Saccharomyces cerevisiae S288C: one gene and its partner. The protein of the gene in region 2 binds, or shares a complex with, the protein of the main gene of each other region. Each region holds a gene or a part of one and is shown on either strand. Other genes may lie near its edges. A codon is read from its position in the direction of its gene.

Region 1 (3,555 bases), on a different chromosome or scaffold from region 2:
TTGGGCAGTGCCATTTGTTATGATATTCGCTTTCCCGAATTTTCTTTGAAATTACGATCAATGGGGGCTGAAATCTTATGTTTTCCCAGTGCGTTCACTATTAAAACAGGGGAAGCACATTGGGAGTTACTAGGCAGAGCAAGAGCGGTTGACACTCAATGCTATGTGCTCATGCCAGGGCAGGTTGGAATGCACGATCTCAGTGATCCAGAGTGGGAGAAACAATCACATATGAGCGCTCTCGAAAAAAGCTCCAGGAGAGAATCTTGGGGACACTCAATGGTCATTGATCCTTGGGGTAAAATAATAGCGCATGCCGATCCCTCTACTGTTGGACCACAACTAATTCTCGCTGATTTGGATCGTGAGCTTTTGCAAGAAATAAGGAACAAAATGCCCTTATGGAACCAGAGAAGAGACGATTTATTTCATTGAGGCAAATAAAATATGAAAAAAGCCTTTATTCGTACAGATTTGCTTTACATATTAAAAATTTCAAAAACATATAATTTAAGTATATAAGTAGTTAATCATTTAATTATTTTTCCGTGGATCGAAGAATTTCGTTAACTTTTTCATCATCTCTTGATCTATTCACAACTTTAAATGCAAAAGTCAAATATGAGGTATGGGATTTGATCTCAGCTTCCATCTTTGTGACCTCCTTCCATTTATAATTACTATCACCTTCCTTGATTCGAGAACCTTTGCCAAAAGGATTAAATTTGGCCTTTTCTGTTAATGGTACGCCATCCTCGTTTCTTTTTCCAACTTTTTCATCGTTAGAATCTATTGTATTGTTAAACATCCGCTTGCGTCTTTCTACACCCTGGAGTTTGTGCCTCTTAATATCTCTCAACCTTTCCAGGGCATCATTGAGTGATCTGACCATTTGTCTTCGACTTTCGTACTGTCTACCTTGAATTTCCACCATTTCAACATCCGTCCAGCCATATTTCTCTAATACATCCAATGTTTTGTCTACTTGCTCAATGCATGGGGAGAAGCAACACAATCCGACCTTTTCGTCTACGGAAATAACAGAATCCAGATGAGGTATAGCATCCCAGGGAGCCGGCAGATCTAAAAACACTACATTTGCATTCAATGAAGCGGCGGTTTCATTATTGCCAAATTCGTAAGATGTAGTGTCTCCCTTCTTTATAAGAAATCCACCTTGGCAAACATCCCGATGTGTAATCGTAACGTTATCATCAATAAGTCCATGCTCTTTGAATTCCTCTAATGCTTGTTCGTATCTTATGTGATGAAATTCAAAACTAAAAAGATGACCTACAGATCTTGCAAAAGCGTGCGAAAATGATCCTGAGCCTGTACCTGCCTCGATCACTCTGCTGTGAGGGCTACAATTCAACCTTTGCATGATGTAGGAAGAGTCGGGCGTATATACAATTTGAGTTCTGTGTGGTAACGACAAAGTCCACAATTCAGGAGTTGGTTGCAGAACATGGACGAATGCAAACTTATTTGAGCCCTTTGTTCTTATAGCAATTTGAGAACCATAAGGTTTACCTATGATATCCTTATGAGGAAATGAACCATAACGAGTATTGAATACCTCTTCGGAATGCATCCTTACCGGTTTGATGTTATCTCTAGAAACCCATATTAGAGTTAAATCGCCTTCCTTGATGAGGTCTTTGTAACCGGAAAAACAATTTGTTGACATTTCTAAATCTGCGTAATCTTAGCTACCTGATAGTCCCACCCCGATCTTATTCACATATATTTTCTATATACTTTAAACAGTTTTAAAAGTGATGAGCATGGAAAAAAATTCGTTGCTAACGGCATGGCATAAACAAAAAGCGAAAAAATTTTATAGATAATAATAAAGAAAAAGTATCAATAGCATGAGTGTTAATGTTATAACGAAGTGTAAGAGGAAAAAGAATGCTGCGCAAATACGTTACTTCATAAAAAAACTCAAGTACTGTATATATTTTACATTTAAATATATTAATTTATATACAAATACGGCCTCCTCTCTTGCATTTTTTTTATTGTTCCATCTCCAAAGGCAGTTGATTAAGTGTACGGATAGGTAAAACTGAATGTGGAAATTTTTGAGAGTTTACTCCAGGATATATGTTGGTAGTATTGTGTTTTTCTTTCTTAGTACATGTCAGATTTATGGAAATCGTAAACGATACCATGGCGGGCCATTTTTTTACCTTTGTGGGTTTCCTCTTTAAACCTTTTCTCATCATTTTTTTGCTTGGTCAGCCAAGCCTCCTTAAATGGTATGCGTTCCATGGCCTCAAGGGGTTGATCTTCTTTATCGATGTCTACTTCGCCTAACATGACAACATTTTCACCACGAATCATGAATATGCCGCGGTCTTCTTCAGCGTATTTGTTTTCTTCGCTAAAATATATTCTCTCCACGCAATCTTGAAGTATCAAATTTGCATATTGGTCAAAGGTTCTTAGTACACCGAATAGCATTCTTCCATCACGCAAAAGAACGAAGATTTTACGGTCTACTGAGCTTACAATAGCAGCGGTGGTAGTGAAGTTATACTGGTCGAGATATAAATCGGCCTCACCTTCTGAAATCTTCTTTGGGAAATTCTGCTGTTGTCGCTTCGCATCCTGATTGGACTGATTTCTGTCCTTGCTATTTGCAGACATTTTTGGTGAATTAATTCGATTCGAGGGCTGCTTTCTTTTATAGGTTTTGAAAGCGGAGCAAATGTTGGTATAACTCTACTGCAGCGTTGGCAATCCTGTTGAAAAGGAAAAGAAAATATAACTAAACTGTGTTACTTGTATCTTCACTAATATTTAATCAGCCCTTGGTCATACAGGCTTCCCCTAGATTGAAATACAGGTGCTGAACACCGTTGTATATTCACGACTTCCTCTATTTTTTTCATATTTTCCATTATTCAACGAACGCGGGTAACAAGTCGGCCGAATTTGAACCCACTCCTCTGCGCTTGTAACTTTATACATCATCGTTACGCTATAAATGTTATGTATTAAGTGTATCAAAGACCCATACGGTCAATGACATAATTCTGTGCCATGACCCCAAATGACAAGCTTAATCCATCTTCGATCCATTCCTTTACCCATTCACTAGGATCAATGATCTCATCGTCTTCGTCTTCGTCTTCACTTTCTTTTTGTTTCTTTTGATCGTATGACTTATTCCTCTCCTCACTTGCTGTTGATCCTGTTTTCTCCACGGATCCTTCTAGCCAATTGACCCATTTGACAGGGAATCCTTGTGATCTTGTTATGGTGGTAATATCGTTAGTTATGTCTTTCAATACAAGGGTGAAATTGAAATTGCCTGGCGTATTGGAGTCGGTCACTTGAAAGTCACCGTCGGCATCTTTTTGTTTTTGCGGAATGGCAATTGGTAAGATGGATATGAATAAATCACTGATTTTATTGCTGTTACTGCTAATAGAACTCCTATCGTCATCTGGAGTGGCATCAGCCTCTTTCTGTTGTTTCTGGTATTCCTCATGTGCAGTATTGAAGAGTTTGACTGCATTTTCCAGGTTTGCAAATGCCAGTTTC
Region 2 (3,755 bases):
GGGCGAATACTACACCAGATTTTTGCATCCTTTGGGACTATAAGACATTTAGCAACCGCACTCAGTGGGCACAAAGCTAATTGCAACTAAGTATATAAATGTAAATATATATATTCTCAGGTTTTTTTGTTGGAAGTTATCAAACGGAACACTCTGTGGACATTTATATTTTTTGTTTCTTAGCTCCATGTTCAGCAAGCTTTTCACTGGAGTCAGCTGCAGTCGCGTTTTCCGATACAGGTTCAGGAGCAGGGATGACTCTGTGACACCACATTAGATATCCACCACCACCTTTCATGGTCATCAGAGGGTGTAGCTTACCCCTTATACTTTGGTACGGCCTACATCTAGTTTCCAAAATTGATGGTGCTAAAAACCTGAGGTCTGAATATAAAGTATGAGCTAATTCCAACAAAGTTTCTTTGAATTGACCATAGCATACAATCGGCCTTGAACCATGGATTTTTTCGGCCAACTTTGGCACTAGTGTTGGTAAATGTAGTGTAGTAGCCATTACAAGACCGTCATATAGGAATTCTCCTGTTAGTTCTAAAATTTGCCATTGTGTATTGTACCATCTGAGTTTTCGGTAGTACGAGTTTTTCTTACCACCTTTTAATGCACGGGCTTCTTCTTTAGGTAATGGTGTAAATCTGCTCTGAATCTCTTGTAGTGTAGGCGGTTCAAAAAAATCTAATAGAGAAATGGTGTGTACATGCTCTTTAATAAATTTCTCAGAATAATTAGCAAACTTCAGCAAATCCAAGTTGGCATGTTCATTTTCGTGAATAACTATGACTTTGCCCTTGGATTTGCTTTCATTGTCACCGCCAAACATTCTTTCCAACAGAAAGTAAACCAATAACCCACCCGTTTCATCCATACAGAGATAGTTGCCTTCTGATTGGATGTTCGCAAGATTTAACAGCATCCCCATCGATTCCTGAGACATATCCAATACCCTTTGGATATCGCCTTTGTCGATTAAGAATTGTAAAAGGTTAGAGCTACTTAAATACTCAACGGTGAAGTACTTGGCGAATTTTTGTTTCTTCCTATTCACATATTTCTCTTGAGAATATACGGTCTTGTTGTGAAAACTTTTGTGAGATTTGATAATTTTGTCGATTATTTCTTTACTAGATAAAGATTCTTGTTTCATTTTTTCAATTTCTTCAACGGTTAACTCTTGGGCCTTGCTGCCCATGTTAACCAGATTCTGATTCGTAGCACTGCTGTCAATGCTAGACAATTCAAGAGACACAGATTTTTCCTTAATAGATAAAGGAGGCTCGCTTTGACCATCGTCTTTATCATTATTGACATCTTTGATCTCCTGCGATAATAGCCTTACTTTCCCGATGGGAATTTTGTTCTTTGGTTTCGAATCTCTATTTTCATCGGATGAAACCTCTTCGCCATCATAATATATCTCGAAAGTCAACCCGAAAGGATAACCAATTATGTCATTAACCTCGAAAGCACCGAATTTTCCTAATGATACAGAGGTGTTGGGCTTTAGTTCCACTATCTTGTAATTTTTTGATGGCAGCCGGACGATAACGTGCTGATTAAAATCTATGGTTGTCAAAGCATTCATTGTGCACTAAATTCAAAGTTTTTTTGTCCAATTCGTTTGCAACAATGTGAGTAGGATCCAACGTGCCAAAGAATTTAAAGTTGAATATTATTATTGTTATTATACACCTCATCGACTTTTTTTTTTTTTTTGATGAAATTTTTCAGATTTTACAAAACCGTTACCCAGTTTCACGTTTTCTGAAAAAAATTTTCATCTCATCGCAGAATAAGTTTAAGATGAGCTGAGCTGCAAATACAGTTGTCGCTAAGGTATATAGATTTGTAATTCTGGCGGAATTCCCCTTGTGTTGGCTAATATTAGAATTACATATACATATAATAGGAAATGGGTAGTAGACGTCATAAGAACAAGCAAGCCGCCCCACCAACCCTGGAGGAGTTTCAGGCAAGAAAGGAAAAGAAGGCTAATAGAAAGCTAGAAAAAGGAAAGAGACCTTCTACCACGCAAGGGGATGAAGTTTCTGATAGAAAGAAAAAGAAGTCGAAGCCATTCAAGAAATCTAGAAAAGAGGAGGAAGAAGTTGTTGAAGAGGATAAGGATTTGCCAGAAGTTGATCTTGAAGAATTATCAAAAGCCAGGAAATCTTTATTTGATGATGAAGAAGATGACGATGAAGCAGGATTGGTGGATGAAGAACTAAAAGATGAATTTGACTTGGAACAAGAATATGATTACGATGAAGATGAAGATAATGACGCCCACCCAATTTTTTCAGATGACGACGATGAGGCTGATCTTGAAGAACTAAATGCACAAAACATGGAAGCTCTTTCTAAGAAACTTGATGAAGAAGAAGCTGAAGAAGCTGAAGAAGCCGAAATGGAGTTAGTGGAAGCGGAGAACATGCAACCAAGAGCAGACATATTGCCCACTGAGGAGCAGGAAGAAATGATGGCACAAGAAACTCCTAATTTAACTTCCACAAGAACAAGAATGATTGAAATTGTAAAGGTTTTGGAAAATTTTAAGACTCTTGGTGCAGAAGGCAGATCGAGAGGAGAATACGTTGACAGACTTTTGAAAGATATTTGTGAGTACTTTGGTTATACACCATTTTTGGCGGAAAAGTTATTCAATCTATTCTCACCAGCAGAGGCGATGGAGTTTTTCGAAGCCAATGAAATTGCAAGACCAATAACCATCAGAACCAACACCTTGAAGACCAGAAGGAGAGACTTAGCTCAAACTCTTGTGAATAGAGGTGTTAATCTACAACCTATTGGTTCTTGGACTAAAGTTGGTCTTCAAATATTCGATTCCCAAGTCCCAATTGGTGCTACGCCAGAATATTTGGCAGGTCACTATATTTTACAAGCGGCATCATCTTTTCTACCAGTTATTGCTCTAGATCCTCATGAAAATGAGCGTATCTTGGATATGGCAGCTGCTCCAGGTGGTAAGACCACTTATATATCAGCTATGATGAAAAACACAGGTTGTGTTTTCGCTAACGACGCCAATAAATCTAGAACAAAATCTTTAATTGCTAATATCCACCGTCTAGGCTGTACCAACACTATTGTATGCAATTACGATGCCCGTGAGTTCCCTAAGGTAATTGGAGGTTTTGACAGAATTTTACTGGATGCCCCATGTTCCGGTACTGGTGTTATCGGTAAGGATCAATCTGTCAAGGTGTCTCGTACCGAGAAGGACTTCATTCAAATTCCACATCTACAAAAACAATTGCTTCTATCCGCCATTGATTCTGTTGATTGCAACTCGAAACATGGTGGTGTAATAGTATATTCGACATGTTCTGTTGCAGTGGAAGAGGACGAAGCTGTCATAGACTATGCATTGAGAAAAAGACCGAATGTCAAGTTAGTCGATACTGGTTTAGCGATCGGTAAAGAAGCGTTTACTAGTTACAGAGGCAAAAAGTTTCATCCTAGTGTGAAATTAGCGAGGAGGTACTATCCACATACGTACAACGTCGATGGGTTCTTTGTCGCTAAATTCCAAAAGATCGGTCCATCTTCGTTTGATGATAACCAAGCAAGTGCAAAAGAAAAGGAAACTGCTGCTAGAAAGGAAGCTTTGGAAGAAGGTATCATTCACTCTGACTTCGCAACCTTCGAGGACGAAGAAGACGATAAGTACATTGAAAAGTCTGTGAAAAACAATCTTTTGAAAAAGGGTGTCAATCCAA

The links. The genes of interacting proteins can lie anywhere in the genome.
Region 1: the proteins of GCD10 (region 2) and GCD14 are in contact, whole or in part, in a crystal structure (PDB 5ERG), measured with the Saccharomyces cerevisiae proteins. Residues at the interface, in NP_014337.3 of Saccharomyces cerevisiae: Met1 (codon at 1,600), Leu4 (codon at 1,591), Thr5 (codon at 1,588), Phe9 (codon at 1,576), Arg16 (codon at 1,555), Asn44 (codon at 1,471), Asp45 (codon at 1,468), Ile46 (codon at 1,465), Ile47 (codon at 1,462), Gly48 (codon at 1,459), Tyr49 (codon at 1,456), Pro50 (codon at 1,453), Phe51 (codon at 1,450), Gly52 (codon at 1,447), Leu53 (codon at 1,444), Leu85 (codon at 1,348), Glu194 (codon at 1,021), Tyr195 (codon at 1,018), Ser197 (codon at 1,012), Ser198 (codon at 1,009), Ser199 (codon at 1,006), Gln219 (codon at 946), Glu220 (codon at 943), Gly223 (codon at 934), Met224 (codon at 931), Leu226 (codon at 925), Asn227 (codon at 922), Leu228 (codon at 919), Asn230 (codon at 913), Ile231 (codon at 910); in NP_012410.1 of Saccharomyces cerevisiae: Phe6 (codon at 1,675), Ser7 (codon at 1,672), Gly8 (codon at 1,669), Tyr9 (codon at 1,666), Lys10 (codon at 1,663), Asp11 (codon at 1,660), Trp22 (codon at 1,627), Arg25 (codon at 1,618), Pro55 (codon at 1,528), Tyr56 (codon at 1,525), Gly57 (codon at 1,522), Ser58 (codon at 1,519), Gln59 (codon at 1,516), Ala61 (codon at 1,510), His74 (codon at 1,471), Leu76 (codon at 1,465), Gln77 (codon at 1,462), Thr79 (codon at 1,456), Pro80 (codon at 1,453), Glu81 (codon at 1,450), Leu82 (codon at 1,447), Leu85 (codon at 1,438), Thr96 (codon at 1,405), Pro97 (codon at 1,402), Ser100 (codon at 1,393), Tyr101 (codon at 1,390), Met103 (codon at 1,384), Gln104 (codon at 1,381), Arg105 (codon at 1,378), Asn107 (codon at 1,372).

Annotation. Positions count from the first base shown.
Region 1 is NC_001142.9:184,990-188,544, forward strand, and holds GCD14 (tRNA 1-methyladenosine methyltransferase subunit GCD14), read right to left. Parts: upstream 1,691-3,555; coding exon 539-1,690; downstream 1-538. Other genes in the region: NIT2 (putative hydrolase), read left to right, coding at 1-435; LSM1 (Lsm1p), read right to left, coding at 2,137-2,655; DUF5427 domain-containing protein MTC1, read right to left, coding at 3,015-3,555. UniProt on the Saccharomyces cerevisiae protein: Catalytic subunit of tRNA (adenine-N(1)-)-methyltransferase, which catalyzes the formation of N(1)-methyladenine at position 58 (m1A58) in initiator methionyl-tRNA.
Region 2 is NC_001146.8:508,613-512,367, forward strand, and holds GCD10 (tRNA 1-methyladenosine methyltransferase subunit GCD10), read right to left. Parts: upstream 1,601-3,755; coding exon 164-1,600; downstream 1-163. Other genes in the region: MTQ1 (S-adenosylmethionine-dependent methyltransferase), read left to right, coding at 1-90; rRNA (cytosine-C5-)-methyltransferase NOP2, read left to right, coding at 1,928-3,755. UniProt on the Saccharomyces cerevisiae protein: Substrate-binding subunit of tRNA (adenine-N(1)-)-methyltransferase, which catalyzes the formation of N(1)-methyladenine at position 58 (m1A58) in initiator methionyl-tRNA.